4 linked regions of the Alligator mississippiensis genome follow. The protein of the gene in region 1 purifies or fractionates together with the protein of each later gene. This does not show direct contact. Links are inferred from orthologs where the notes say so. Each region holds a gene or a part of one and is shown on either strand. Other genes may lie near its edges.

Region 1 (7,323 bases):
GAAGAAAAGAGCTCTAAGAGCTAGGTATTACTGTTAAATCCCTCGCCTGAAAATCAGATAGCAGAGGGACAGGATTCTGGAGATTTTTCTTTGATCCTTGTGACCATTTACATTGATCTGACCTGAAGAATTCATTATGCATGTTGCTGCAGAGGCATATGTAAGAGTTCTTAGGTTAGGGATTTTGTTAAGCTTAATTTATAGCTCATTAACCAGGTAAACTACTATATTACTCTTAATAATTCAGGGATCAACAATTAGTGCTGAATAATAATAACCAGAGAATCATCAGTATATTAACACCAACTTAATGGTTTCTGTCCCTGTGCCTGACTTTGACCTATCTTATACGTGTCTACAAATGGTTTATCACTGGGATTCCCATACTTTTTCCTATCTAACTGTCCAAATATTTGTAACTTTCCCTGAGCATTTTCACTATAACAAGGTTATAGATAGGGATCTACTTAATATGTGGTTTGGCAGTTTTTGTGGAAACTGAAAAAAATGACATTGTCCACAATCGCCAGGAAATACTGCGTTGGCCGTGATTTCCCACAAATTAAACTTAACACCCCCCCCCGGCATATTATTCATGTAATACGCTGTTTTAGAATGTCCCAATGCTTACCACAATACAACGACAATGCAACAATCACTGCAGCCATGGATCATGATTGAGTTACTATTTGCTAGTGAGATAGATGAAGTGAAGGCGCCAGTCAGTGAAGTGAAGCTGTTTCTAGTAAGGTAACATTAATTAGTATTCTAAACTTTTTGTAGAACGCTACATATAATAAATCATGATGATATAAGTTACAATTTATATTGTATGTAAAATTTATATTTACAATATATTTAAATGTGTATTTAAATGTAATATTTAGATTTATAAAAATATGATAAATTCTATGATATAATTTACCTTCCACAGAATCGGCTATTAAATTATACAGTATCTACCTCTCTGCCAATCACTGGTGAGGGGTGGAGCCACTGGAAGATGTCTGTGAAATCAGCTCTTCATGCTATGATCAAGCCACAAAAATTGCTTTGTCTCACTGCAAGTAGACCCCTAGTTATAGAGGAAGATGAAAAAATGAATGAACTGAGCTGCATTCGATCAGGAGGGAAACTTGGACACTGAAGGACAATAAATGCACATTTTTTTAAATTCTACTCTGAATTGCAATTCATCATTAATTTGCATTTCTCTCCAGTGTTGATTATGAGATTAGCACTTTCCACTGCTAATAAAATACACTGTACAGAAAGCAAGCATAGCTGGGTTTGTTGTTAACATTTGTAGCAGAGTTGTACTTTGGGAAATAAAGAATTCCAGCTCATGGCATTTGTATCACCCCGCTCTTCTTTCAGTATGACTGTCCATCTGATAAGAAGCACTCGATCCACGTGCCCCCATAGGGTGACAATAATACGTGCTCATTTTCTAGAAAGGAAGAGAGGGATCATATAATTAGGGAGCTGGGCTTCTCTTTATTGTAAAAATATGGAAAATTTTCCTCCTTTAAATCTCTATCAATTACGCTATCTGACACCTCTTCCCCCGCACAGCTCCTTTGGGGGTTGGCAACCTGCAGTTTAGGAAAAGCGGCTCTATTGATATTTATGTTCTCTGCACCATATTGCCAACCCGGTGCACTCCATGAGACAACCCCCCTGCTCCCCCTTGTTCCCAACATCATGCTATTTCTCTGTAATTGATGGTGGGGGTTTGCTTTGTGATTTAAGTTCCAGGGGAAGGCCACTTGCCTCCAAAGCATGAGTGTAAATGACTCAATCCTTAGACTTAAAACACACAGTAGGAAAAAGTATCTTCCCCATCTACTCTACTTTTTCATCATACCCCAAGGAGTCCAGTCCTTTCCACTCTCCCTGCAGTTTCCATCCTGTTCCAAAATCTGCTCTGACCCTCGCTGTCTTCTTCTTTTCCCCGCATCACCCTGGCCCCAGCTCTGCTCCCCCTCTTCTTCCGTTGACCCCTTTCACTGGGGCTCCATGCGCTTCACAGTCCTTGTGTCCCAAGAGCGCTCTGTAAACAGAGTGGCCATCATTTTCCTTGCAGGCATGGCCTCACTCTCATGGGAAAGCAAGAACCAGCCGCCACCCTGGGCATAGCTTCTAGGAAAACAGTGGCCATCTCCTCTGCTTCCCTCCCTGACAGAAGCAGGAGATGACTGCCATTTGGAGTAGGGGACAACTCACCCGTTGGTATCCTTCGTATTTCCTTAAGACCCTTTTTTTGACTTAAGGCACCCCTTGGAAAATGCCAACCCTTCATTTTCATTTTTTTTTCTCTACAGAAAAATACTAGAGTGATTCTTCTGTTGCAAAGAGCTCGGAAAGACCGCAGCAGGGCAGAATGCTTTTAACACTATGGAGTCCTACATGAAATCTCTGCGTTTATCTTGCGAGTCATGTTTGCACACCCAACAGTGTGGTGCCCCATGGCACGCTTGAAAGGATCTCAAGGCACCCCAAAGGATGAGGCTGAAGTTGGTTGCTTATTCCCCATTCCTTATTCCCAGTTCCTTTTTTAAAGCGAATCTGTACCCAATACAAGCTTATTGTTAATGAATTACACATCCTAAAGAGAGAGAATTTAATGAGTAACCAACTTCAGCCTCATGGCTATGGGGCACTGCTAGTCGGCAGCGGCGCATGCACAAACTGTGCTTTGGGCTGGGCAAGACCCTGGCCACAGATGTCCAGAAGAGTCCCCCGGAGCCACAGAAACAGGGAGTGGGGTGGCCCAAAAAAGGATTTCCAATCATAATCTCAGCCCAAGCGCCAGGTCCTTATTCAAGCTGTTATACTTAGCCTGGGGGCTGTCAGTTGGCAGCCTGGCACGGCCAAACCGTAGGGTGGCCATCATCATTGGCGATGCGTAAGGGGTGCATGTGCATCCCCTGAGATTGGCAGTGCACCCCCTGCAAAAATGTCTATGAATCTATCGAATGTCTATGAAATCTATGGGGGCTGGACGTGATGACCCTCCGGGGTCCCTTCCAGCCTGAATGTCTATATGAAAAAGTGTCGTCAACATTGCCATCGAGCTCACCTTGCCCCCCCAGCCTCCGGGGGCACGTGGCATTCATGGCCGTCGTAGAGGACATTTCTGTTTTCTGCTATTGACACGAAACTCGACGCCTGTATGTCCTCTAGTTTTCTCTTCACCATGTGGGGTGGCCTCCTTTTTGGGCCACCCCACACCATGTCTCCCCACACCACGTCTCCGTGGCTTGCTTTCTGTACACCGTACAGGCAGTCCTCGGACTTGCAACACAATTGGTTCCTGTAAACCGTGTCTTAACATCGAAATGTTGCAACTCGGAACCAATCTTCTCATAAGAAACAATGTTATAAATGGGGGGTTGGTTCCTGAACCAAGGCCCGATACCCTGTTTTCACCAAAAATACCCCAGATTTTTGTACTTGATCAACTATAGATGAGTAATATAGCTACATGAATGTATTTATATTGTAAATAGCGATCACATTGATTTGGAAGGACTTCTTTGAGGTGACGTTTTGAAGGGCTCTCGGCTGGACTTTTTGAAGGACTCCTGGCTGGAGTCTTCTCAGACGTCCCGGCTGCAGGGTTTTCTGGCTTTCTTCGTCTGCTTTCTTAAAGAAAGCATCCCAGGAAGCGTGGACAGGTGTTCTCCAGGGAGACGCAGCCAACTTGTTGCATCAGATGAAACATCGTAAAGTTGAAACCGGGCGTCCATTTAAGTGCAAAACATTGTCAGGCGAGGACAGCCTGCATTTCATTTTTCTCTTCAAGAGACAAACTGAGGACATCGAGACGGCGGGTCTCGTATCCACAGAGGACAACCGGACCATCCTCCATGCCGTGCTTCGGGCTGGGCAGGACTCTTTGGGACGGGAAGCGTGGGGCAGGCGGAGAAGTCTTTGCCCCATCATCCCGTCTGCATCCGTCCCTCATGTAGGGCTCCGTACTTGAGGCCGGACATTATTTTCCACAGGAATTCGTCTATACGCCTAGCTAACGACATCCTCCCTCTTCAGGAGGTGCCATTCACGCTTTTAGTGGGTCCAGATGGTGTTGGAAAGAAGGACCCGCGGATGCACAACCGCAGGCCCGCAGGGCAATAGCAGCCTCCCCTCGCTGACAGGACGCGGCGCCGCCATTTTGAGCCGGGCACAACTCGCCCCTCGCTTCCACTTCTTTGTGGTTGTTTTGTTGTTTGTTTCTCCGTAGGAAAAATACCAGCGCCGCTGTCCCGAGGCGGCGAGTCCCGGCGCCGGAGCCGCAGCTCCGCCCCGGGCCTGGCCCGGCCCGCCCCGGCCGCCATGTCAGCCCCCCCCACGCCGGGCAGCGGGTGGAGCCGGCGCCATGCAGCGCGCTGAGAAGGTGGTGCAGCTGCGGGGGCCGCCGGGCCGGGCGGTGCGCGTCGTGCGGGAGCACTACCTGCGCCCCGACGTGCCCTGCCGCAGCGCCCTGTGCCGGGCCGCCTGCGCCCGCGGTGAGGGGGCGGCGCGCGGGGCCGGGCCGGGGCACCGTTAGGCCTCGGGGTGGTCTGTGGTGACGGGTGCCGCGCCACCGCCCCGTGGCGTTGGCAGCACGCGTGAAGCGCGTTGGCGACGCGGAGGGGTGCACACACGTGCAGGTGGACCCCGAGTGTGGGGGGGAAAGGTGCCGGCAGCCTATGCGGGTGGTCCAGGATCACGACACTGGCAGCGTCCGCGGGTGGTCCGCGATCGTGACACAGCTGGCAGCGTCTGTGGGCAGTCCGTGATCGCCAACACCGCCGGCAGCACCACCACCGACACCAAAGGGAAACCTGCCCCCGTGGTCCGTCAAAGTTGTTATATAACAACGGCGGAAAAAACGGTTATTTTCCTGTAGTCCAACAAAAGGTGAAAATGAAGAGCGGGCGGTTTCGGCGAGGTCCCAGCCCGTCCAGCGGAAGTCTGAAAGGGTCAGGCCCCGCTGCCATAGACGAAGCGTTTTGGCCACGGGGAAAAAAACCGGTTATTTTTCTGTAGTCAAGTAAAAAAAAAAGTGAAAATGAAGAGCGGGCGGTTTCGGAGGGGCCTCCAGCCTGTCCAGCAGAACAGGCCGCGCTGTCGCAGGTGAAGCGTTTTGGGAGGTGCTGTGAAACAACACAAACGCAGCAGCAGGAAATGTTCGGAGGGCCAAGAGAAGCGAGTGCGTAACAAAATGCCCTTCCGAAACAGGCTCTGCTGGTGTCGTGTGCCGCGCGTAACGCCTGCAGAGCCTCCGAGGCCTGAAGAAGGGCCTTTGTGCTGGAAAGCTTGCAAAGAACATTTTTCCACCTCTTTATATTGCACCTACCCAAAGACCCTTGTCTGCCCACGTCCTTAGACTGACACGGCGACAGCCAACAACCCTGCTTCCAAACCAGAAACGCGCACAAATAACCGAGGGCAGGGTTTAAAAAGAAAAAAACAGGAAAAGGAGAGACTTGGAAAGGGAAGGCGGTTGTTGCGAGGCTTTCCTGTAAATGGCTTGTGTGCATATAGGGACCACAATACGTTGTTAAAGGACTTTCTGAGTGTTATGTGGCAAGCCACTACATACTACACCCTGTTTAAAAGGATTTTTTTTTTTTTAAATATAAATTTTGGCAAGATTGTATCACGAGTTAAATCCTATAGATATCCATTAAGTATACTTGTAACGTGGCTGAGTGGTTAACATTGAAACTTTTTTGAATCTGCAGGAGCAGCAGTTTTTGTTCAGTAATTAAATTTAATTATCCGTATTATACCTGACAATCTTAGATGTGGGAAGACTGCCAGCTCCTGTGATTTCTAGTTTGATGTTGTTTTGTATAGCACAGTGCTATGATGTACACAATAGATTATCTTCAGTTGACCTTTTTTTAGTGTTTTTGTGTGTGGGGTGGGGGTTAATCCACTAATTTCTTTGCAGCAACATATTAACAATACTAGGTGATTAACATAGCAGATACAACAGGTTCAGGACAAAAAGAATAATGATTTTTCAGTTGAGTTTCTCACCCTGCCTATAAAAAGTGTTTTCTAAATTGTTTGCCTAGATCCACTACATTTCGGAACAAACCTCTTTTTTATATTTTTGGCCAGCTAATGAGATGGAGGCTCAGTAGATGCATATTTGTTGCCTAACATGTTGGGCAAGGTTATGCTTAGCATTCCCTGGGAAGCCTGGTGGCTGTAGAGATGTATGAGCAACTGCTTATGGACCCCCAGAGATTAAGAGTCACATTACAGTCTCAAAACCAAATGCTGTCCTCTCTCATGTCTGATTCCCTTCCTCCTGACTTCAGCGTAAATTGTGCTATAGATCAATGTCAGTATGTGCCTGTATGTAATTGTTCTAGGTAATTCAGGAGGAAGGCAGACATTTGTTTTTGTTCCTGACTCAACATGCTGTGCTGAGCAAACATATTTCATGCACTAGGAGAGCTTGTCTGCATAAATCATGCATACAGATATTTTTAAATGGCATCCTGTGCCTACTCAGAAGTTAGTGTAATCTAGGTCTGGATGTTAGGTAAGGATGGCTTAACATGCACAGCCTATATAAACCTTGAAGTGACATTTCACTTTTCAGAGAATTTGCCTTCCAATCTGTTGCTGAAAGATTAGCTTTATTATATCTCTTCGGCCATCAGTTTTAATACCGAGTTCAACGGTAGTTGTTGCCATGTCACTGTAAGCAGGACTGGCCTCAGTGACTAAATAACTTACAAGGATCACTGTTAACAAGACACATTGCATTGAATTGGTTCCTAGGAAACCTATGAAAGTCACTTAACTTGTCAAGATATGTATAGCATAAATATAATCCACCTAGACTGCTGTGCGTGTAATGATTAAATGCTAATAATGGCATTAGGAACAAATGGATACAGAGGAAAAACATAGCTGAGACCCAAAGAAAAAGCTGCTTATGCTGAGGTTACTTGGAATGCCAATAAAATTAAAACAATTCATGCTTGGGTACATTTTCTGATTTCTGCTCTGTTTTTTCCAACATTTTAGATGGTTAAGTCCAGCCGAATACATGTGACACCTTCCTTTAGGATGAATTAGATTTGAAAACTTTCCCATTTTGGCAAAGTGTTTTTTTTCCAAATGTGTATGCTTATGTGCATGTTATTAATATGGGGAAAGGGCTCTAGGCAAGCCTGCCAGCAGCAAGTGGGTTATTGGCTGGTAACAACATCTGTGGGAGCAATTCCTGGAAAGAATACGCCCCATTGCATAAATCCATAGGAGATTTTGTGTCAAATCTTTTTTTCAATTTTTTTCCACAATAGCAGAGAA
Region 2 (6,333 bases), on another chromosome or scaffold:
ATCACGGGCTGCCTGTCCTCGTGGCTATAGGTGGTCATGGCGTAGCCCACAACGCCGCCAGCCGGGCCAGACAGGATGGCACGGGAGCCGCTGAACTGGTCCATGGGAGTCAGGCCCCCGTCGGAGCGCATGAAGAGAACTGGGACGTCCTGTTGGGGCAGCCAGGGAGCAGCTGGGGTCGGGGAGCTGCGGGGGTGCCCCAGCACGGGGGGGCAGGAGTCTATAGCAGGTGCCGGGTCATGTGGAACAGGGCCAAGGAGCACAGAATGGGGCAGACTGGTCCAGCCACATAGGAAGGCAAGGGCGAGGAGCGCTGTGCAGCTCTGAGGTGCTGTGGTGAGCTGTACTCACCTGGAGCTGCCGGACAAAGCCGGCGCGGAAGCTGTGGAGGTAGCGCTGGATGCAGGGAGTGAGGTAGGCGTCGGCACAGGCTGTGTATCCGCGAGGCACCACTCGCACCATGGGCATTACCTCCGAGGATAGTGACACGTGCTGGAAGCCCAGCTCCTGGGCCAGCACACCCACCTGCTGCTCGTGGGCTGGGCACCTGCCAGAGGCAGCAGGGAGGTGGGCAAGGCAGCCCCAGCACCCATCCTGCTGCCATGGAGAGGCATGCAGGTCGGGGCACAGGCACGGCCCTAGCTCCCTGTGCTCCTTCCCAAACTGTCGCTGCCCACCCCAAGTGCCCACGCCGCAGGGACTCACGCATAGGAGTGTAGCAGCACCACAGCCAGGCTCTGGATGCCCCGAGCCAGCAGCCCCTGTAGCTCCGTCCGCAATTTGGCCAGGTCCAGGGGCTGCTGCACCACCAGGACATCCCCCGTGGAGCCTGGAGTGGGCAGGAGCCAGGTCAGAGGGGCCCATTCGTACACCAAAGACTGCCTTCCCCAACACCCTTGCCTTGGCCCAGCCTGCCTGCTCCCACCCAAACCAACCCTGGGGACCCACCTTGGAGGCGCTGACTCGTGTCAGCCCCGGGGAGCCGGCAGTCGGCACGGTGCGGGATCAAGCGCTCATCCACCTCGATCACCTCTTCGTACAGCACCTCGGGCACCGTCACCGCCTGGGCACGACATGGGGGCAGGACAGGACACGGTCACTGCCCACCCCAGCACAGCTCACTGACCAGCCATGCACAGAGGGCTGCCCCCCAACACTGCCCTGCTGGCCCCTCCACTAGGGCCTGCCCCCCTCCCAGCTGCCAGGGCCCAAGCCCAGGCTGGGGTCCCCTGCTCTCACCCAGTGCCAGGACCAGCCTGGGGTGCTCACTCCCCCCAGACATACAATCCCCACCATCTTGTGAGCTCTCCTGTTTCAGGGTAATTTGGGGGTGGCTCCCCCCACATTCCCCAGCTTCTGGACTGAGACTGTCAGCTCAGCCGCTGACAGGCCAGAGTCACTGCACCAGCATGAGCCCTGGGAACGGCTGTGGGACTTGCCAAGGCCGTGCAGGACGTCTGAGGCACAGCCTGACACCGACCCGCCGGGCTCAGCTCTCAGGCTGCAGGCTCTGAGGCCACCACCACACTGGGCTCTCTCAGGGTGACCCCTGCCCCCCAAACCCTCTGCAGTGTCTTGCTTTGGGCTACTGCCCCCCACAGCACAAGCCCAGATCACGAGAGCACCAGGTCCAGCTACGTCCCAGGGACCAAGGGAATGACCAACCCCACTCGCCGGCCCCATCAGACTCCAGGGAGTCCAGCAGCGCAGCATCTGCAGAGGGTCTGGAGACAAAGGGCTTGGGGGGAGACTCCAGCTCCTTCCCAGGGCACTAGGGGAGGGGGAAGAGGCTCAGGCAGGGCATCCAGAAGCCCCAGGGAGCGAGAGGGAGGTGGAAACCCTCAGGGCAGAGCCTGGCCAGGACAAAGCAGCTGCAGCCACGTGGCCGTGTCACCGGCCAAGTGCAAATAAAGGGAGGCAGGCACAGGGGCCCCGGGATTAGCAGTGGAATCCGGTGCCAGCTCCTTCCCGGCACCAACCCCTCCGAGGCCGGTTCCCAAGGGCGTTTGCTCCGGCTGAGCGCGCAGGGGCCAGCCTGCGGCTCCTGCTCCCCACGGGGCGAGGCCAGTGCCCTAGGGATTCACGTGCCGGGTCCACGAGGGCGCCCAGACGGCTGCGACACCTCGCACTTGAGCTATGAGCCGTGGCACAAAGGCAGGGCCATGCCTGCCCCCCCCTGCTCCTACCCCACCTGCCTGCCCAGGAATGGGGCTCGGGGAGGGGGGACAGGGCCTCCACGGGGGATTCAAACCGACGCTGCGCCATGCGCCGATTCCAGAGGCACCTGCAGTCCCGCGCGAGGCCACGGAAGCTGCAACAGACCCACAGGGAGCCCGGGGGCAGGGGGAGCAGTCACAAGAACACCAGAGCTGCCCCAGCCTGGGGCAGACCCAGTCCATCCTGCCTGTCTCCTGTGTCCCACGGGGCAGGGAGCGGAGCTGGACGGAGAGCGACCGGAGCTGAGCAGGGTTTTCCCCCGTTCCTCTCCCTGCAGCCCCCAGCACTGAGCTCCAGGCAGGGCGATGCAGAGACCGTGCCCCTCGCTCCCTGCCCCAGAGCCACCCATCGATGCCCCTTTCCTCCACGCACGTGTCCGAGCCCTGGTGAGCGTGGCTGAAGTCTTGGCTCCCACCACCCCTGGGGCCACGAGCCCCCCATTTAATGCTGCGCTGGGAGGGGAAAGACCTCCCTGAGCTGGTGTTAAACCTCCGCCTGCTCAGCCCACGCGTGACCCTCACTCCTGTCGGGGACGGAGACGGTCCCTGGGATTTGTTACTGACTTCCCTCTTCCCCGCTGAGCGCGTCGTAAATCCTGCTCCTGCCCCCCCTGGCGTCTCTTCTCCAGACTGCCAGACCTGGCCTCGTGACTCTCCTCCTAGGGAAGCTCGTCCGAGCCCCTCAGCATCCTTCCCCAGGTCTCCTACCTCCGTATGCAGGTGCGGGCCGCGGCATGGTGCCGCCGGTGCGGCTGGGACTCACCAGGTCGAAGATGCAGGGCCGGGCCTGGTTGCCGATGTGCAGCAGGTCACGGAAGCCCCTGGTGATGAGCAGGGCGATGCGCTCGCCCTTGCGCTCCAGCAGCGCGTTGGTGGCCACGGTCGTGCCCATGCGGATCCACTCGATGCGCGACGTGTCCAGGGGCTGGTCTCGTGGGAAGGGCACGCCGCACTCCTGCGTGGGGGGAGGAGGGGAGCAAATCACGGCCACGCCAGTCCCCGCAGCCCCCCGCTTTCACAGCGCCTGGTGCCCGCGGGCAAACTCGCTCCTGCCCCCGCGGGAGCCATCAGCGCCAGCACCTCGGCCCTGATGCTGCAGATGGGGAAACTGAGGCACGGACAGGAGGGAGCAGGTCGCGCCCCAAGGAGCTGCACCAACACCTTCCCGGGGGCCGGACCCCTGGGGCCGCAGCAGCGCAAGGAGATGGGACACCTGGACGAGGATGCGGAGCGGCCGCAGGAGCAGGGACGGGGGGTCGCGGGGAGGCACGAGCTGAGCCTGTTGTCTCTGGGGCTCACGCCCGTCCCGACAGCGAGCGTGGCAGAGAGCACCACGCCCCCCCCACGGCGCAGGGGCTGCAGCAACTCGCCCCGTCAGGGGAGCAGCTGCGCGGGGGCCGCCCCGCCCTGCCCTGCCCTGCCCTGCCCCGGGCTGGACGAGACCCCCGGGGACCCTGCCCCCCCGCCCCGCCCCGCCCCGCCAAAGCCCGTCGCACACGGGGGGGGGGGGCAACACTCCGCAGCCTCCGAGCGCCCGGCTTGCACGCACGGGGGGGGGGGGACCGTTGTGGCACGGCTGCCCCCGGGTCCTGTCTGCTGCTCCCGCCCGCCGCTCCGCGCCGCGCCGCGCCGCCCACCTCCTGCAGCAGGCGGCGGATGCCCTCGGTGGGCGCGTCGCGGTAGCGGCCCGGGTCCTGCGAGAGCAGCTTGAGGGCGCGGACGCGGCCGGCGGGGCCCCGGGCCAGCACGTCGGTGAAGGTGCCGCCGCGGTCGATGGCGAACTGGAACCCGGCGGCGCGCGGCGCGGACATGGCGAGCACCGCCCGCACCGTCCCGGTCCCCACAGCGCCCGGCCCCGCGCCTCGCGCCGGGGGCGGGGCCTGCGCGGGGGGCGGGGCCTGCGAAGGGGGCGCGGCCGCCACACGTGCAGCCGCCGCGGGGCACGCCGGGAGCGTCCCTCCTTCCCGCTCAACGCCGCGCGCGCGAGGCAGGCCGGGAGGCGTAGTGCGCGGGGGCGGCGCGGGGCAGGCCGGGAAGCGTAGTGCGCGGGGCGGCGCGGGGCAGGCCGGGAAGCGTAGTGCGCGGGGCAGGCCGGGCCGATGGCGGGGCTGGAGCTGCTGTCGGAGCAGGGCTTCCGCGCGGACGGGCGGCGCGCCGGGGAGCTGCGCAAGCTGCGCGCCCGCATGGGCGTCTTCGCGCGGGCCGACGGCTCGGCCTACATCGAGCAGGGCAACACCAAGGCGCTCGCCGTGGTCTACGGCCCGCACGAGGTGGGCCCCCCCGACCCCCCGGGGGTCCTGTCCCATCACACCCCCCACGGCGGGGAGGTCCCAGGGGTCCTGCCCCCCATCAGACCCTCTCCTGGGGCGGGGAGGGGCCCCAGGGGTCCTGCCCCCTCCCTTGCCCCCCCAGGGTGATGCTCCTGGTTAGCCTGAGGGGTGGGAGGCACTAGGGCCAGGCCATCCAGGGGCTTTACTGGGAGCGCCCCCCCCCCCCCCATGCAGCAGCCCCTGCATCTCTGTGCACCCAACCACGGGCGGCCTTCCCCCCACCCCTGGGCAGAGCTTGGGGGGGTCCGGCCCGTGACCCCGTCGTCCCCGCAGATGCGCGGCTCCCGCAGCAAAGCGCTGCACGACCGGGCGCTGGTGAACTGCCAGTACAGCATGGCCACCTTCAGCACGGGCGAGCGCAAGCGCCGGCCCCACGGCGACCGCAAGTCCAGCGAGATGACGCTGCACCTCAAGCAGACCTTCGAGGCCGCCATCCTCACCCAGCTCTACCCCCGCTCGCAGATCGACATCTACGTGCAGGTGTGCGCGGGCGCGGGATGGGAGGTTTCCCGGCGGGGGGCCGGGCTCTGCGCCGTGCAGCCGGGCCCACCCACTGTGCTCTCCCCCCCCAGATCCTGCAGGCAGACGGCGGGAACTACTGCGCCTGCGTGAACGCGGCCACGCTGGCCGTCATCGACGCCGGCATCCCCATGCAGGACTACGTGTGCGCCAGCTCGGCCGGCTTCGTGGAGGACACGGCCCTGGCCGACCTCAACTACGTGGAGGAGGCGGCCGGGGGCCCGCAGGTGGCCCTGGCCCTGCTGCCCAAGTCGGACCAGATCGCGCTGCTGGAGATGAACGCGCGGCTCCACGAGGACCACCTGGAGTGCGTCCTGGACGCCGCCACCGCGGCCTGCCGGGCCGTGCACGCAGTGCTGGACCAGGTGGTGCGCGACCACGTGCGGGAAGTCGCCACGCTGCTGGGGGAGTGAGCGCCCGGGGGGGGGGCACTGACCTGCCTCCAGGCCTGTGGGGGTTGACTGCTGCCTCCTGGGCACGGGCCCTTCCCTCAGCCCCGGGGACGCTGGGCCAGCACTGGGATGTGTCCCCTCGCCGCGTGGAGACGGACCCCGGTGCCCCTCGCTGGGCGACGGGCACCACCGCTGCGCTCTGGCACGGCCTGCGTTTTGGGCCTTGGCGGGAGGTGCCTGCCTGCAGGGCCTGCACCCTGGGCGGGGGGCTACTGTGGCTCATGGGCCGTGCCGGGAGCCCAGGCCAGTCCCCTGGTAGGAGTGGGTGTTGTTTTGGACAAGCAGCTCTGAATAAAGTGTTATTTTGGTGCAACTTGTGGCTGTTTCTTCTTTCCTGTGCACGGCGGGGAAGGCTGGGGGGCCACAGGGAAATGGGGACACCCAGCCCGGGTGCTGCTGGTCCCTCTCGATCCGGCCTCGCTGTGCACGGCCTGGGCTGAGTGAGCACCTGCCTGGACCAGCCCGGCCGTGCCTGGGGGCTCCAGCATCACTCCTGAACCTGTCCCTAGAGCTGTGCCGCCTGCCCAGTGTGCAAGTGCAGGCCTCCCTGGCCTGGGGAGCATGGGGCTCTGAGGGTCCTGGGCGTGGAGGGGGACTCTCGCGCCCCGCAAGGCTGGGCTGGGGTCGCGGGGGGAGGCCCCGCAGTGCCCCGGGCGAGGGGAGCGGCTGGGAGCCGGGGAATGGGCGTGCATGATGTCATCCGGCCCGCGCAGCTCCCCCTGGTGGTGCGTGCAGCCCCCTGCCGGCAGCCGCGCGCATGCGCACTGCCGCGGGGGGGCGCGGGGCCGCTCGGCGCTCGACTGCTCGGTCTGCGGC
Region 3 (7,167 bases), on another chromosome or scaffold:
CCTTGGAGAGCAGGAGCAGCATGGCGCTGATGTGACAGGTGCTTCTCGGTGATTGATTCACCCCACATGTAGAGGCCACGTCATCAAGGCACAAGGAGGGGAGCGAGTGGCTCAGGCTCAGGGGTCCCTGGGGCTTCCAGGGCCGAGGGTGGCAACTGACCCCTGCGGCGTGTGCTTTGTCACGCAGAGGACTTCCACGCGGTGGACAGCGGGGCCAGCACGACGGGGCGCATGCGCTGTGTGATCTGCCACCGCGGCTTCAACTCCCGCAGCAACTTGCGCTCCCACATGCGCATCCACACGCTGGACAAGCCCTTCGTCTGCCGCTTCTGCAACCGGCGCTTCAGCCAGTCCTCCACCCTCCGCAACCACGTCCGCCTGCACACCGGCGAGCGCCCCTACAAATGCCAGGTCTGCCAAAGTGCCTACTCCCAGCTCGCCGGGCTCCGGGCCCACCAGAAGAGTGCCAGGCACCGGCCCCCCAATGCCTCCCTGCAGTCGCACTCCCCGGCCTTACCCGTGCCCCACCCGGCCTCCTTGGCCCATCACATACCCACCATGGTGCTGTGAGCCCCCGCTGATGGCCAGGTTTGGGGCAGCTCTTGCCAGCTGCCGGAGACTGGTACGGAGGGGTTGTCGATGAGCTGTTTGGCATCAGCCCTTGGGGGCAGGGCTGGCAGTGGGGAGAGCAGGGGCAGGGCGGGCGTGCTGGTGACGCTGCGTGCTGATGGAGGGGCCCCTCCCTTGAAGCATTGCTCTTTTCGTGTGGCTTCCGTGTGATGTGTCACTGGGACAAAATCACCCCAGCCCCTTGGTCCCATCAGCACGTCTCCTCTCACTGGTCTCTCCTGGGCAGAGGGAGCTAAGTCTCCGGACAAGGAGGAGGCTTGGGGGCTCTCTTTGTTGCCCATTAGGCAGCGAGTGGCACAGAGGAGTGTGGCAGGGTTAATATGTTGAGGACTGAGACTTGGAGCAGAAGTGGGTGGGTAGAGTCAAAAGGCAGGTTTCTGGGTTCCCCACCCCCCTCCAGGTTTTGAATTCATGCAGTGGGAGGAAGGGAAGAAAAATTCCCATTTCCTTTCCTTCCCCTCCACTCAAGACAATGCTAACAGGAGGCCCCACTCCCATCGCCCGAGCTGGCACGGTTCTGCTGGGGTTCTTGCAGCCGTACCTGCTTCAACACGTGATAGCTTTGGCCTTAACGCTGTGCCCACACTGGAGAACCCCAGTTCCAGCATGAGCAATGCTGGGCAGCTTCCTTTCCACCGAGGCTCTGCAGCGAGGACTGATTTGTGCCTCCTGCCAGGCAAGCTAGAACGTCCCCCTGCCAGGTCAGCGCCGCCGGGGATGCTCTGCTGTGTCTGGGGGGTGGGAAACCTTCCCAGAGACTTCAACCCAGCCTCCAGAATCATGCCCCCAGCTTTTCCAGTCAACTCTGCACATGTGAAATCAGGCAGACGGTGCCCAGGGCTGAGGGTCTGCCCAGGCAGGTGCAGCGCCAGTCCCTTGGTAAAAGATTTGCCCAGCAGTGCTCTCAGGAAATGCAACGCCTGTGTTTTGCCAAGAGCACTGGTGCAGCTCCCACATGGGATGTTTTCGGGTGGAGGCACCTCCAGCGGGCACGGCTCCCCTTGCCCAGGGTGCAAGCCCTTCATCTGCACACACACGCCTGGTCTTGCTTCTCCTTCAGCTCCTCAGCTCTTCCCCACCCCTCCACGCTGGTCCTTCAGCAGACCCTTCTTTTCCTTAGGGACCATTGAAACTGTTCCCTCCACTGCCCTCTGGAGACCAGAGAGAAACCCATCCTTTGGGCAAGTCCCAACCCGAACGCAGTCTGAAGCGCCTCCTGGAGGCCTGCCGCAGTCACGAACCCAGGCAAAGAGGGGGATTTGTAAAATAACGTGGAAGAGAAGCTATTATAATATTAATTCTAAGTATGAGATGTATAGAGTTTTCACAAACTGTGTTTTACTTCCAGAAAACAACTGTCACTTTAACTTTGTACATATTTATGTAAAACATTATTTACAAAACTTTGATATTATATATTATTTGATTGTATATGTACACAGCTGTAAATACCTTTGTACCACGCTCTCTCTTGTATTCTAAATAAAAATTACTTGGAACATTTACCATTTAGATGGTGAATCGTTAGGCACTTTTCTTCCTTGCTGTATTTTAGGACAGCCTGATGCTGGCTTTGGCACAGGGAAGCGACGAGAAGGGGGTCCTTGGATTTTTCTCCTTTTTACTTCCTTTTGTCTTTTTTTTCCTTATTTCGCCTTTTTACTTCCTTTTCCCACTTTCCTTTTTCACTTCCTTTTTCTACTTTCTTTTATTGCCTTTTTATTTTTTCCTTTTTCTACCTTTCTTTTTCTCCTTTTTACTTCCTTTTTCCTTTTTTTACTTTCTTTTCTTGCCTTTTTACTTCCCTTTTCCTTTTTTTACCTTCCTTTTTCCTTTTTACTTCCCTTTTCCTTTTTTTACTTTCTTTTCTTGCCTTTTTACTTCCCTTTTCCTTTTTTTATCTTCCTTTTTCTCCTTTTTACTTCCTTTTTCCTTTTTTTTACTTTCTTTTCTTGCCTTATTTCCTTTTTCTTTTTTTCCTTTTTACTTCCTTTTTCCTTTTTTTCTTTCTTTTCTTGCCTTTTTACTTCCCTTTTCCTTTTTTTACCTTCCTTTTTCTCCTTTTTACTTCCCTTTTCCTTTTTTTACTTTCTTTTCTTGCCTTTTTACTTCCCTTTTCCTTTTTCTACCTTGCTTTTTACTCCCTTTTTACGTCCTTTATGCCTCTTCACTGTGTTGGAGTGAAGTGAACAAAAGTTCCCACCCGTGTATCCTTAGCTAGCAGAACAGCTTGCTAAGGGCAGGGGAGATTTGCTGCTGCTTGGGGGTCAAACCATTAAAACAGCTTGCTATGGGAAGCAGGAGATTTGCTGCTGCTTGGGGTCAAGCAAGATTGGATGCCTTCCTAAAAGACACCGTCAGCCACAAGGTGCAGCAGTCCCTTGAAGGCGAGCCCTTGCCCGTGCAATGCACGAGGTCAGACCTAATGATCAAAAATGCCGCTGACCCTGCTCTCTCTGACCCTACTGCACTGCACAGTTAAGACAAAGCACTGATCAGTCCTGACCTGCCGTTTGTCTAGGATGATCCTTGCATCTTGAAAGAGAGTGGTCTTTGGAATAGGAGGAAAATCATTTGCACACATGTACACCCCCCCAATGCTCACGTGTGCACCAGCACCTGTGCAAACGAAAGGCGTCAAGCCTCAGGTTTTCAGTCACAGCAAACAGGTCCTTAACACAGAAGTGCACTGGACGGCGCCCATTTCCCATTTCCTTCTGGCCAGCACTTGCCTTTACAACCACATGCCCATCGTTATAACACAGCGCAGGCCTGGCGAACGCTAGCGCAGGCTTGCGCAGAGCCTGTTGGCCCGGTGGGAGGATCTAGGCCAGGCTTTTTATGTCCGGAGCAGCTTAACCTTTTGGATCAGACATGCAGAGGGTGTTTCGGTGCCTCCTCAACCCGAGCGTTATGCAGCTGTGGTGCACGGTGCTCACCATCCGGCAGGCAGGACGATGCCTGCAGGCTCTCCCAAGGGACCCAGCCTCATGCAGGACAGCGTGAGAGCCCTGTCCCGTCGGGCGCACGAGGGCCGGATGCTTTCTTGCTTATTCATAGGCTCGTAGAGGAGTCGGGCCGGGAGCGACCTCCAGAGGCCACATCTAGTCCGAGCGCCTGCCTGAGGCCTGTCCGAACCGTCCTGCGCTGGAGGAGTAAATGCACTGGCTGGAGATGAGGACCAAGCAGGGCAATGGCAGCGGGCTGGGCGAGGGGCTGGCTCTTATGTGCTTGCCCCAGTTTTTTCCTGGTGGGATTGGACACTTTCCCTCCCTGCAAGGCTCTCCCCTTGCAAGGGGGAGCCTGAGCCAGCTTTGCCCCTGTGAGCCCCCTGCCCCTGGGGGCAAAGCTGGAGCATCTCTGTGACCTCCCCCGGGGAGCTCCCCACAGCCAGCACTGGGGGGCACCAGAGCTCTTCCAGCTCCTGCCAGCACTAAAGATGGACCCACCCTCTCGCCTTCCCTCAACACCCAACGCACTGAAGGCCGTTCCGCCCTCCTTGCCCGGATCCAACATGGCTTCCCTGCGCCCGCTCCGCCCTTCCCCAAGATGGCGACGCGGGGAGCCCGCACACGTGCTCTTGCCAGCAGTTGGCATGGCGGCGGGAAACCCGTGGAGCCCAAGGGGCCTGAAGCTGCCGCGCCGCCAGGAGTCGGAATGGCGGCTATGGAGGTCCGGCTGCCCGTGGCCCGCAAGCTGGTGGGCCAGGACTTGGCGCGGGGCAGCGGGAGGGACCTGGTGGCGCCGGGGGACACGATCACCACGGACACGGGCTACATGAGGTGGGGAGGGGCAGGCTTCCTAATGTCCTCTGGGGTATTTTTTTGGGGAGGGGGGGTGCATGGGATGGGGCCTCTGCTGCTGCCCTGGGGGGTACCTCGTGTCTGCTGTAACCCCAGGTCCTTTTCTGCAGAGCTGCTGCTTTGCCAGGTGGCCCCCAGCTCGCACCAGTGTGGGGGGGTCCCTGGGTTACCCCCTGCCCTACCACCTCCACCCCATTGCTCACGCGTGGGACCCCCTTGGCAGGGGTCCACCCCAGCCTGCTTCATGTTGGAGTGGGGGGAGCCTTCCTGGCCCCCTGCGTCACCTGCTCTCTCCTCGGCAGGGGCCACGGCACCTACATGGGCGAGGAGAAGCTGGTGGCGTCCGTGGCGGGTGCGGTGGAGCGAGTGAACAAGCTGATCTGTGTCAAAGCCCTGAAAACCAGGTGAGCGCCGTCGGTCGAGGACGCACGAGGTGTTGGCTGGACCCACCCGGAGCCCGGGTATCGCTGTGGGGTGGGACGGGTCTCCCCCTTCCCCCTGAAGGGTGCTGGAGGTGGGGGTGGGATGGGTCTCTGCGTGCGCCCTGCAGCGGAAACCGGTAGGGCGAAGGTTGCTAAACTGGATGCGATCACGTTTGCCAGCTACATCCAACTACCATAACCAGAGAGGTGATTTCATAGGTTTCTAGGGTTGGAAGGGACCTGTTAGCTCATCGAGTCCGATCCCCTGCTCTGGGCAGGAAGAAGCGCTGGGGTCAAGTGACCCCAGCCAGGTGCTTGTCTACTCTCCTTTTAAACGCCTCCAAGGTAGGGGAAGCACCACCTCCCTGGGAAGCCCATTCCATATTTTGGCAACCCTCACCGTAAAGATTTTTTCCCTGATGTCCAACCTAAATCTGCTCCTTTACGGTTTGTGGCCGTTGTTTCTGGTAACCCCGAGGGGCGCCCTGGTAAACACAGCATCCCCTATTCCCTGCCGCCCCGCCCCCCCGATGAGCTTATAGACAGCCACAAGATCACCTCTCAGCCTTCTCTTGCGAGGCTGAGGAGATTCAGGTTCCTCAGTCTGTCTTTGTAGGATCTTACCTGCAGGCCCTCAGCCATATGAGTAGCCCTCCTCCGAACCCTTTCCAGATTATCTACATCCCTCTTGAAGTGCGGCACCCAAAACTGGACACAGTACTCGAGCTGTGGCCTCACCAATGCCGCATAGAAGGGACGTATCGCCTCCCTAGACCTGCTTGCACCTGCTCATGCAAGACAGTGCAGTTAGCCTTACTTATTACCTCGTCACATTGGCGACTCGTATTCATTTTTGTGTTGACTATGACTCCGAGATCCCTTTCCGTTGCTGTGATACTTAGAATGGTACTTCCCAGTCTGGAGGCGTATTGGTGATTCTTTCTCCCCAGGTGCAGCACTTTGCACTTATCTTTATTAAATTGCATCCTATTCTGATCCTCGTGATATCAGGCCCCACATTGCTTGTCACTGTTAAAACCTGGAGGGACCTCACGATTGTCCGCTCTGACCTCTCAGGTAGCAGAGCCCAGCAAATTTAATTCATTTACACCTCTGCTGAGCTCAGTTAAAACTTGCTGGAAAAAAGCCTCTGTATTGGGGCACTGTGCTAGAGTTGAAGCAGGTTGTGCTGTTGGGACCTGTGCTAGCTCAGCCCTGCTTGTGTTTAATTACCGTGGTAGTGATAAGGGGATCTGAATTGAGAGGGGTTTCTGCATCCAGTGTGAACAGTTTCCCTTTTTTCTTGCGCCCAGGTATAACGGTGAAGTTGGCGACATCGTGGTTGGGAGAATCACAGAGGTAAAGTGCCCAGAGGTTTCTAGTCATTGTTTTGTATGAATGACTTGATTTCTCTGATACACAATATTGTCCCAGTTACCCTTATCCTACATGTTATAAATCAGATGTGCTCCTGGGCACAACCCTAGCCAAGGGGGAAGATAACCACCAGACTGTCATTTGTGGCTGGGTGTCTGATCCAAGGTGCACCCAGCAACTTAAGCAATCAGATCTTTTACGGTCTGGCCATAAAGGCTGTGGAAGCTCAGCCCGTAGCTGTACTGGCATGGCCTAAACCCCTGAGTTTGGTTCCAGGTTGTGCTGCTGAGAGACCTTGAGCAAAGCATGACGCGTCATTGAAACCAGGACAGCACTGGCCTCCTTGGTTACTAGGAAGTTCTTAATATAACCAGTGATTTAAAAGCCAGAGATGACAAGTAGCTTTGGGTGCTACATCTGCTCCCCCAGGAATACTCTTTCTGGGGCGTAGGAGGTGGGTTTAGAGTGTACTGAGTTTAAGAGAATAGCCTTGAGACTGAAAAAGTCTTACCTGGAATTGTATTGGAGCTGATCAGTGCTCAGCAGCACACAGCAGCTCTCAGTGCCGTGGCATTAGCAGCCCTGAAACTGGCAGGCTCTTTTCATTTCCAAGTCTGATAGTTTCAGGACTGCTATTAAAAGCCTTGAAAAGGAGGGGCAACAGTAGCCACGAAACCAGCTATCTGCTTTATTTTCAAGGCTTAAAATAGCAGCCCTTTGACAGCAGCTTCCCTTCCTCTGTCTCTGGGGCAGTTAGAAAGCACAGGTAATTTACGAAGTAGGCAGTAGCGCTGAAAGGGTATTTAAGCACTTAGCTCTTACACTGATGATCAGTTTGTTACGCTGTAAATAGCATATTGGAACTGGCAGGGCGTTATGCCCTAACATGAATCAGGCACTCCCACCATAAGTGAAGGGCACTAGTTTTGTTCATG
Region 4 (7,373 bases), on another chromosome or scaffold:
AAGTCAAGTGCCTTTGATTTTAAAATGAATTTATTAGGATAATGTAGGGTAGCCTCCGGTTGTAGTGGACTGAAGCTGTAATCTCCTCTCTCTTTGCTTCCAGACACTGGCTACTGCCATTATCCCACAGTGGCAGAAGGATGAGCTGAGAGAGGCTCTCAAAGTTTTGAAGAAGGTCATGGATGACCTGGATCGTGCAAGCAAAGCAGATATTCAGAAACGGGTGAGCCCTCGGGATGAATGATTAGGGGCCAGGATAGCTCTGTAGTGAATCTTGCAGACATCAAAGCATGGGTTTTGCTTCCCACACCCAACCTAAATAAATAGGTGCTTCTCTTTGCTCCGCAGAGCTATCCTTTCTGTTTGAAATCTCTTTTAATCCTCTTCCCTTCCTACTACATCTCAGCAACTACATTGAGGTACCAACCCCACGATAGCAATAATGGTGTTTTTAATAGACCCACCAAAGTGCTGCTGAGCAAATAGACTGTCCTTCTGAAATTTGGCAGTTCTTTTGTTGGTTGGAAGAGTGAGTGATTTGTGTTTAGTGCTTGGATAGTGCTCCTGGCCCAAAATTGATACCTGCACACAGACTATGGCAAGATGTTTGTCAGATGCAGGTGAACGGGCTGGTTGCTGCTGTTCCTGACTCAAGTTGGTGACTATTGGGAAGGGGTACGCAGCAGTGCTGCCTCCTTTCAAATCTCACGTGCTGCATCATGTTCTTCCACACTTTGTTCCTGCTTTGGCAGCCTGGGCCTTCCCCTTTGGGTCCATATCAGCTGTACAGAATGGTCAGTGATCAGTGACTAGAAGTTGGTGCAGGTTAGCTGTTGCACCTCTTTCAGTTTGCCTGGTGAGCCCTTGTGTGCAAAAAACAGTTTTTGTGTCTGTTCACATCTGTCTGAACATCTGCTTGTTCTTCCAGGTGCTGGAGAAGACCAAGCAGTTCATTGACAGTCACCCTAACCAGCCACTTGTAATTCTGGAAATGGAGAGTGGCGCTTCAGCAAAGGTAACACAGCTAGTCCCAATACTCTCCATTCCCGTGTCTAGGACTCCCTGAGAAAGTTCAGAAACCTGCCTCTCCGTTTGTGGCCCCTGGAATGGAGGGGGGATTTTCACAGCCTCATGTATTACAGAGCCTGCTGTGCAGGTGCCCAACCATGGCCAGGGCTTTGAGATGGTCGTGGAGGGCATAATTAGTTCATGTTAGGTCTGTGCACTTTTTCTGCTGGCTTAACCAAAGCCACCTCCTACCCGGAAGTGTGCAACACCTCTGTTTGTCCCTCAGACTCTCTTCTTCACCATCTCAGATTCTAGTGTCTGGATCAGGATGGGGATCCCTGCTTCAAGTAAGGGCCACCCAAGTGGGTGGCTAGGAATTAGAAGATGAGGGAAAATGCAGGCTGAAAATGTTTCTAACAGTGGGGCCTGCAGGGTAGTTACCCAAGAAAAGCAATGAAGCTCTGTCAGCTGGGATATTGCAGAGAAATGCAGTGTATCTTGCACTGGCTCCCATACAGCAGCTAGGTAGAGCCTTGAATGAGTGCTAGAAAAGTGTTGTCCTCCAGCTCCCATTTCTTGGATTCTGCAACCCATCCAGCTGGGCTTGTCACAGACCAGTGCTGTCCCTACCCTTCTGTCTCGCATCATGAGCTGAATCTGTCTATTCTTGTCAAGGTGGAAGGGGGGGTTTCCTACCCCCTAGAGAAGCTTGTTGTGGGTAAACCCCCTTGTTTGCTGGTCCCAGCAGTGATGAGCTGCTGCCAGGCAACAATAGGAAATGAACAGTGTCAATTAATGATACTGTAGACTAACCATCAAGTTGTAATGCCCCAATTTAAATTTCTGCATGGGCAAACTCCCAGCTGATCCTGTTTTGTTTATAGGCTCCCACTCACCCTCTTACATGGTTCTCATCTCCATGGTATCTAAATGCTGTTCATGTCTGTGTGGGAGGGGAAAATTGCTATTTTGTTTTGGGGACCATTACTGCAGTTGGTACAGATGCTGCATCTTCAGTGTTCCCAGCAGCAGGCCCAGCAGCATCTCTGCATTGAGCTGTTGGCACATTCTTTGCGCAGTAGCCAATTGCCTGCACCTCTAAGGGATGACAGCAGCGCACAGCATGTGGATTGCAACAGTGGGCTGCGTGACCCCTGGGGACTGCAGCAGCCAGCTGTACAGGTGGAGCCGTGAATATGTCCCCTAAGAGGCATCATCAAATGACCTCTAATTAGCCTGTCTCAGGAGCTCTCTAAATACAGCAGGTCTTTCTATGTGAGATATGAAGTGTCAAATCTTTTGCAAATAGTGGGTGCCTGGCACTCAAGGACTTGCCTATACCTAGTCCATTAGTCTAGGTGTGCTGTGGGAAAGACTTTTGTATCCTTGTAGCATTTGCACTCTGACCTCCATCCCTGCTGACTCCAGCTGCTCTTAAGTAGAGAGTAGCAGCAGGCACAGCAGAGTTTCCAGGTCTCCCAGAATGGGTTGCCCTTTACCTCAGTCCAGCAGCCTGCTAAGGAAAGGCTCACACCACCTCTGTCCTAAGCTGCTGTCCCTTCCCCTTCCTAATGTATCACTTGCTTGCAGATCATTTTCACTTGCTTTATGGTTGCAGAGCCATACATTTGTTGGCCCCCAAACAACCCAAGATGGGAAACAAATCAGGCACTGAGCATTCTCCTGCTCCAGTCCTGCTGCTGGACAGGGAACATGAGTGAAGCTAGGGAGCCATGTCTCTATGTGACTTCAGAAGCTCAGATCTCCAGGCATTGAGTCTGGTGTGACCAGGCAAGCAAGCTGCTTCTGCTCTTCCTCTGATGCCAGCTCCACAGCCAGCCTCAAGAAGGGTACATGCAGCTTTACTGCACCCAACAGAAACCAAGCACTGCAGAGATGCAGACTGCTGCAAAAGCGAGGTACAGAAGATACTGACTCAGAATGCCTGCCTGGGAGTAGAGTGTGTTTGCTGATATCAGCAGGACTGTTGTAGCTATCTAGCAGCAAAGGAATCTGTGTAGGGATTTGCAGCATGTGTTGCCAGGCCAGCTGAAAGATGAATGATGCCGGCTGGTTCTTGGTGTAATTTTCTCTGTATCTCCTTCTACAGGCCTTGAATGAATCTCTGAAGCTATTCAAGACTCATTCTCCTCAGACTGCTGCCATGCTTTTCGCAGTAGATAATGAAGCTGGCAAGATCACCTGCTTATGCCAAGTACCTCAGGTAACACTTTTCCAGAGCCCTTTGGGTGTGTCTGCCCAAAGCATTTCAGGCTGAGCTTAAGAGCTCTTCCTAGCAGTAGGACCTGCAGATTTCCTGTACAGCTTATGCTCAGGCAGTCAGCAATGGGGCTTCCATGTGTCCTCTGTCTCTCATTATCACGTCTAACTGGGATACTGGTAGTAGTTGTTGCATTAGCGTAGCTGTGTCTCAGCTAAATTACATTTGGAGCCATACAAGAAAGCAAGTTAAGTACTGTACTGCCAAGGAGGTAGAGCTTTGTTCTTCCATCAGATACAGTTACTTGAAGTAGTGTTCATCTAGGCATCTTCCTCCAGCAGCAAATGCTGTTGTGTTGTAATAACCTAAACCCTGCCCTCTTCTTTTCCAGGAAGCAGCCAACAAGGGCCTGAAGGCCAACCAGTGGGTGCAGGAAGTGTCAACACTGATGGATGGCAAAGGTGGTGGGAAAGATGTCTCAGCCCAGGCAACAGGCAAAAATGTTGGGTGCCTGCAGGAGGTTCTGAAGCTGGCCACGGACTTTGCTGAGCTCTGCCTTGGCGAGCTGAAGAACTGATTCCATGTCCCTGTGCTGGCTCGTTGCACAGGTAAGAAGCGAATGCTGTCAGCTCTCTCCTTTTCTCATCAGCCTGGTCACCGGGCTCCCATTCACTCTAGCGACATCGCTGGAGACAAAGACGCTGCACATCATTCCTTCTGAATCCCCTCGCTGAGGCATTAACAAACTAAAAGAAGCATCATGGGTTAGAGATCTAAACAAGGAAGAGAGAGAGACAGGGGCTTAGAAGTTGTAATGCCAGCTCCAATCTTGTTGTATGTCTGGGAAGCCTGTTCCTTGTCTGTAAAGTGAGGATAATGCTGGCCTCTCTGCAAGGCCTGCAGTAAGGATTGCACTAGCAGTTTGTAAAGTCTTCAGAGCACTGTTATGATGTGCTAAATATTAGTAATAAATACTGTCAGCCACAGAACGCATCAAAGCCAAGAGTCTGCACACAAACTCCTGTCCCCTTGTAACCACTGGAGGCAGGAGCCCACCTCTGGAAAGTTGCTGGAATCAACCTGTCACCCAACTCCCTGACCTCTCTGTAGATAACATGGAAGCCCTTTACTCACTTTATTGACAACAGTAATAGTGTATTTAAATTAATGTGATGTAGGTGTACCTCACTGCCTTAGCTGAGCAGACCTACCTGTATGGGAACATGAGGAATAGGTTCAGTGTTAATAAAGGCCATCTGCAATGTGTGCCCTGTTAATTTGTCATTGAACCAGGCCAGGGTTTGCAGTTTTGTTAGGGTGGAAGAAGTGGGGGTGTGCTGGGAAGGCAGATGTTCAGTCTGTGGTTAGAGGGGGTTATGGCTTTGCCAAGAATGGGACTGTGCGCCCTGCGGCGCCGTGGGTCTAACAGGTGCTTCCCCTGGAGGGGCGCGGGGCCGCCCGTCGCTGCAGGGGAGCAGCGGGCGAGGGCGCAGGCCGGGGCCGGTCGGGCCCCGCTCCCCGCCATGCTCGCTCGCTCCGCGGGGCCAGGGTCGGGGCCGGGCTGGGGGCGGAGCGCCCTGAGCGCGGGGCCGGGCGCTGAGTGGCTGGAGCCGCGCTGGGGGCGGGGCGCGCAGGCCAGGCCCCGGCCGCGCTCCGGGCCTGCAGGGGGCGCTCCGTGTAGGCGGGTGAGCGGCTGGGCCTATCGGGATCGGGTGGCCGGGGCCATGCCGCTGGACCACCGGCGCGTGCCGGGCCCGGAGGAGTCGCAGTCGCCGCTGCTGTACGCGGCCGAGGAGCCGGAGCCGGAGGAGGCCGAGGAGGCGGCGGGGCCGGGCCGGGACCCGGCGGCGCCGCGGCCGCTGTTCGCGCGCGCGGGGCTGCTGAGCCAGGCCAAGGGCTCGGCCTACGTGGAGCTGCGCGGCGGCACCAAGGTGCTGTGCGCCGTGTACGGCCCGCGGGAGGCGGGCGGCGCGGAGCCGGCGGCGCGGGGGCGGCTGCTCTGCGACTTCCGCCGAGCGCCCTTCTCCCGGCGCGGCGCGCGCCTGCGGCCCGGCCCGGCGGCGGGCGGGCGAGACCGGGAGCTGGCGCTGGCGCTGCGCGAGGCGCTGGAGCCGGCCGTGCGCCTGGGCCGCTACCCGCGCGCGCAGCTGGAGGTGGCGGCGCTGCTGCTGCAGGACGGCGGCTCCGCGCTCGCCGCCGCCGTCAGTGCTGCCGCCCTGGCCCTGGCCGACGCGGGCGTGGAGATGCACGACCTGGTGGTGGCCTGCGCGCTCAGCCGGCCGCCCGCCCCCTCCGCCGCCGACCCGCCCGCCTGGCGCCTGCAGCCCAGCGAGCGCGAGGAGCGCGACGCCGCCGCCCGCCTCACCGTGGCGCTGCTGCCCGCCCTCGACCAGGTGTCGGCGCTGCTGGGCGGCGGCCAGGGCGGCGCGCCCGAGAGCTGGGCCCAGGCGGTGCGCCTCGGCCTCGACGGCTGCCGCCGCCTCTACCCGCTGCTGCGGCACTGCCTGCTCCGCGCCGCCCGCCGCCGGGCCCGCAGCGCCGCCGGGGGCGGGGGCAGCCACAGCCCGCCCGCAGCCACCGCCTGAGGGCGCACCCCGCGCCGGCGCCTGGAGCCCACGTCGGTGACGACGGGGACAGACCGTGCGGGAAGGCGCCGGCCCTGCGTGTTGCAGCCCGAGGCCCACCCGGTACCAGGACTTGGCACAGACCCCGCCTTCCCAGCCACCCCTGCCCGCACCGGACGCCATTCGTCTCGCAGCTGCCTGTGCCCCTGCATGGGTTTTCAAGCATGTTTGGCCCCGAATGGTTCCTGCCCCTCTTCATGCCTGTTGCAGTCCAGGAGATGCCCTGGAGAATGGCAGACTTTCTTTGCTGGTGTTTCCACTTGAAGTTCAAAGCGGCGCCATCTTTTTGTTGGTAGGAGTCCACTGCATTCAGTAGTCTGGTGCCAACTCGCATTCAACATGTGCTGTGGCTTCCCTGGTCTTAAATTTTAAAGGGAACTCTTTAGCTGGTTGCTGGAGAACAAGTAGTGCTGTCTGGTCAGCAGAAAATCTGTTTGGTTACATGATGTCAAATGTTTCTTTTCTACAATTTTTCTTGTAACTTTTGATTGGACCTTCGCTCTTCCCCAGACAATTGTATTTCTTTCCTGAAAATTGTGTTTTTGGCTCTGAAATTTGTGGAAGTCAAACTGGCGGACGCTACTGTGATTTTGCTCATTTTTTATAATCAAGGACTGACTGCTCTCCCTCTCTGGCTGCAGTTCTTGCTAGTATTGGTTCTTTGCTTATTAATTCCACATTGGCCATACCAATGAACAAGACAGCTCAGTTAATTATCCTTACAGGAATTATTAACAAGATCCTTTGTGTTGAATATGCTTTCATTGTGACCTTTTGGCCCTTGGACACATGTTAACGTGGAGCTGTGTTACTGATGGACTGGACTGGATGATGGTTTGGCTGTTGAGTTTAGACTTTGTAACTAAAACTTGAGCACCAGGTAGCACCGTATCTTGGCAAAATGCTGTTCATGAATAAGATATTTGTATGCCCCCACCCAAGAGAATGTATCCAGGTAATATCTTGAGAGAGATATTTTTTTAATATAATAAATTGTACTTTTTACTGTGAACTTTACCTCATTCTGGCTGTGATCTGTTTTTGAGTCTTAAGTCACCTGTTCCTATTCGGTAAGTCTTTTGGTGGGAATATTTCAGTGAAATCAAGGCCTTTGGAAAGTCCCTGATCACCAGCATTTCAGGCTAAAATGTCCTTCCTTACTCACACTTCTGGTGTAGTTCAGATGGCAGTTTGTGTCACTTCCCATTTATTTGCAGCCTTGAAGCACAGGGATCACTCTGTTTGGTTTGTATACTAACCTCTGCTTAGTGTTGTAGATACCTCTCTGCATTTGGATCTGGATTGAGAGCAACAAATTTCATCTTGGCTATGAAACGGCAGGTTTGAACAGCTTATGATTAGGGACCTACCTAATTCACAGTGGTTGCCTCCAAATTCACTGTCCCAGCAAGACATCGGGTGCCATTTTTGTGGTGGGGGGCACACCTCTGATTGGCTAAATGGCACTTGAAGTCCCACCCCTCCCCAAAAATTGATGGGTGGTCCCAAACGGGCTTGCT

Evidence for each region. Proteins that work in one complex are often made in the same cells at the same time.
Region 2: the proteins of DIS3L (region 1) and EXOSC4 purify together in Homo sapiens (affinity purification with mass spectrometry; 5 studies listed by BioGRID and IntAct, with this or other methods). This does not show direct contact. The link is inferred for Alligator mississippiensis from reciprocal best matches to the Homo sapiens genes DIS3L and EXOSC4.
Region 3: the proteins of DIS3L (region 1) and EXOSC2 purify together in Homo sapiens (affinity purification with mass spectrometry; 5 studies listed by BioGRID and IntAct, with this or other methods). This does not show direct contact. The link is inferred for Alligator mississippiensis from reciprocal best matches to the Homo sapiens genes DIS3L and EXOSC2.
Region 4: the proteins of DIS3L (region 1) and EXOSC6 purify together in Homo sapiens (affinity purification with mass spectrometry; 3 studies listed by BioGRID and IntAct, with this or other methods). This does not show direct contact. The link is inferred for Alligator mississippiensis from reciprocal best matches to the Homo sapiens genes DIS3L and EXOSC6.

The regions. Positions count from the first base shown.
Region 1 is NC_081834.1:5,034,350-5,041,672, reverse strand, and holds the start of DIS3L (DIS3-like exonuclease 1), read left to right. Parts: upstream 1-4,310; 5' UTR 4,311-4,381; coding exon 4,382-4,511; intron 4,512-7,323. UniProt on the Homo sapiens protein: Catalytic component of the RNA exosome complex which has 3'->5' exoribonuclease activity and participates in a multitude of cellular RNA processing and degradation events.
Region 2 is NC_081826.1:912,572-918,904, forward strand, and holds EXOSC4 (exosome complex component RRP41), read left to right. Parts: upstream 1-4,266; 5' UTR 4,267-4,315; coding exon 4,316-4,486; intron 4,487-4,819; coding exon 4,820-5,026; intron 5,027-5,118; coding exon 5,119-5,478; 3' UTR 5,479-5,830; downstream 5,831-6,333. Other genes in the region: OPLAH (5-oxoprolinase), read right to left, coding at 1-149, 352-547, 706-829, 949-1,063, 2,980-3,171, 3,854-4,027. UniProt on the Homo sapiens protein: Non-catalytic component of the RNA exosome complex which has 3'->5' exoribonuclease activity and participates in a multitude of cellular RNA processing and degradation events.
Region 3 is NC_081835.1:59,318,652-59,325,818, forward strand, and holds the start of EXOSC2 (exosome complex component RRP4), read left to right. Parts: upstream 1-4,164; 5' UTR 4,165-4,179; coding exon 4,180-4,412; intron 4,413-4,735; coding exon 4,736-4,837; intron 4,838-6,168; coding exon 6,169-6,214; intron 6,215-7,167. Other genes in the region: PRDM12 (PR domain zinc finger protein 12), read left to right, coding at 188-570. UniProt on the Homo sapiens protein: Non-catalytic component of the RNA exosome complex which has 3'->5' exoribonuclease activity and participates in a multitude of cellular RNA processing and degradation events.
Region 4 is NC_081833.1:34,962,381-34,969,753, reverse strand, and holds EXOSC6 (exosome complex component MTR3), read left to right. Parts: upstream 1-4,837; 5' UTR 4,838-4,953; coding exon 4,954-5,814; 3' UTR 5,815-6,870; downstream 6,871-7,373. Other genes in the region: AARS1 (alanine--tRNA ligase, cytoplasmic), read left to right, coding at 104-223, 929-1,015, 3,119-3,232, 3,621-3,806. UniProt on the Homo sapiens protein: Non-catalytic component of the RNA exosome complex which has 3'->5' exoribonuclease activity and participates in a multitude of cellular RNA processing and degradation events.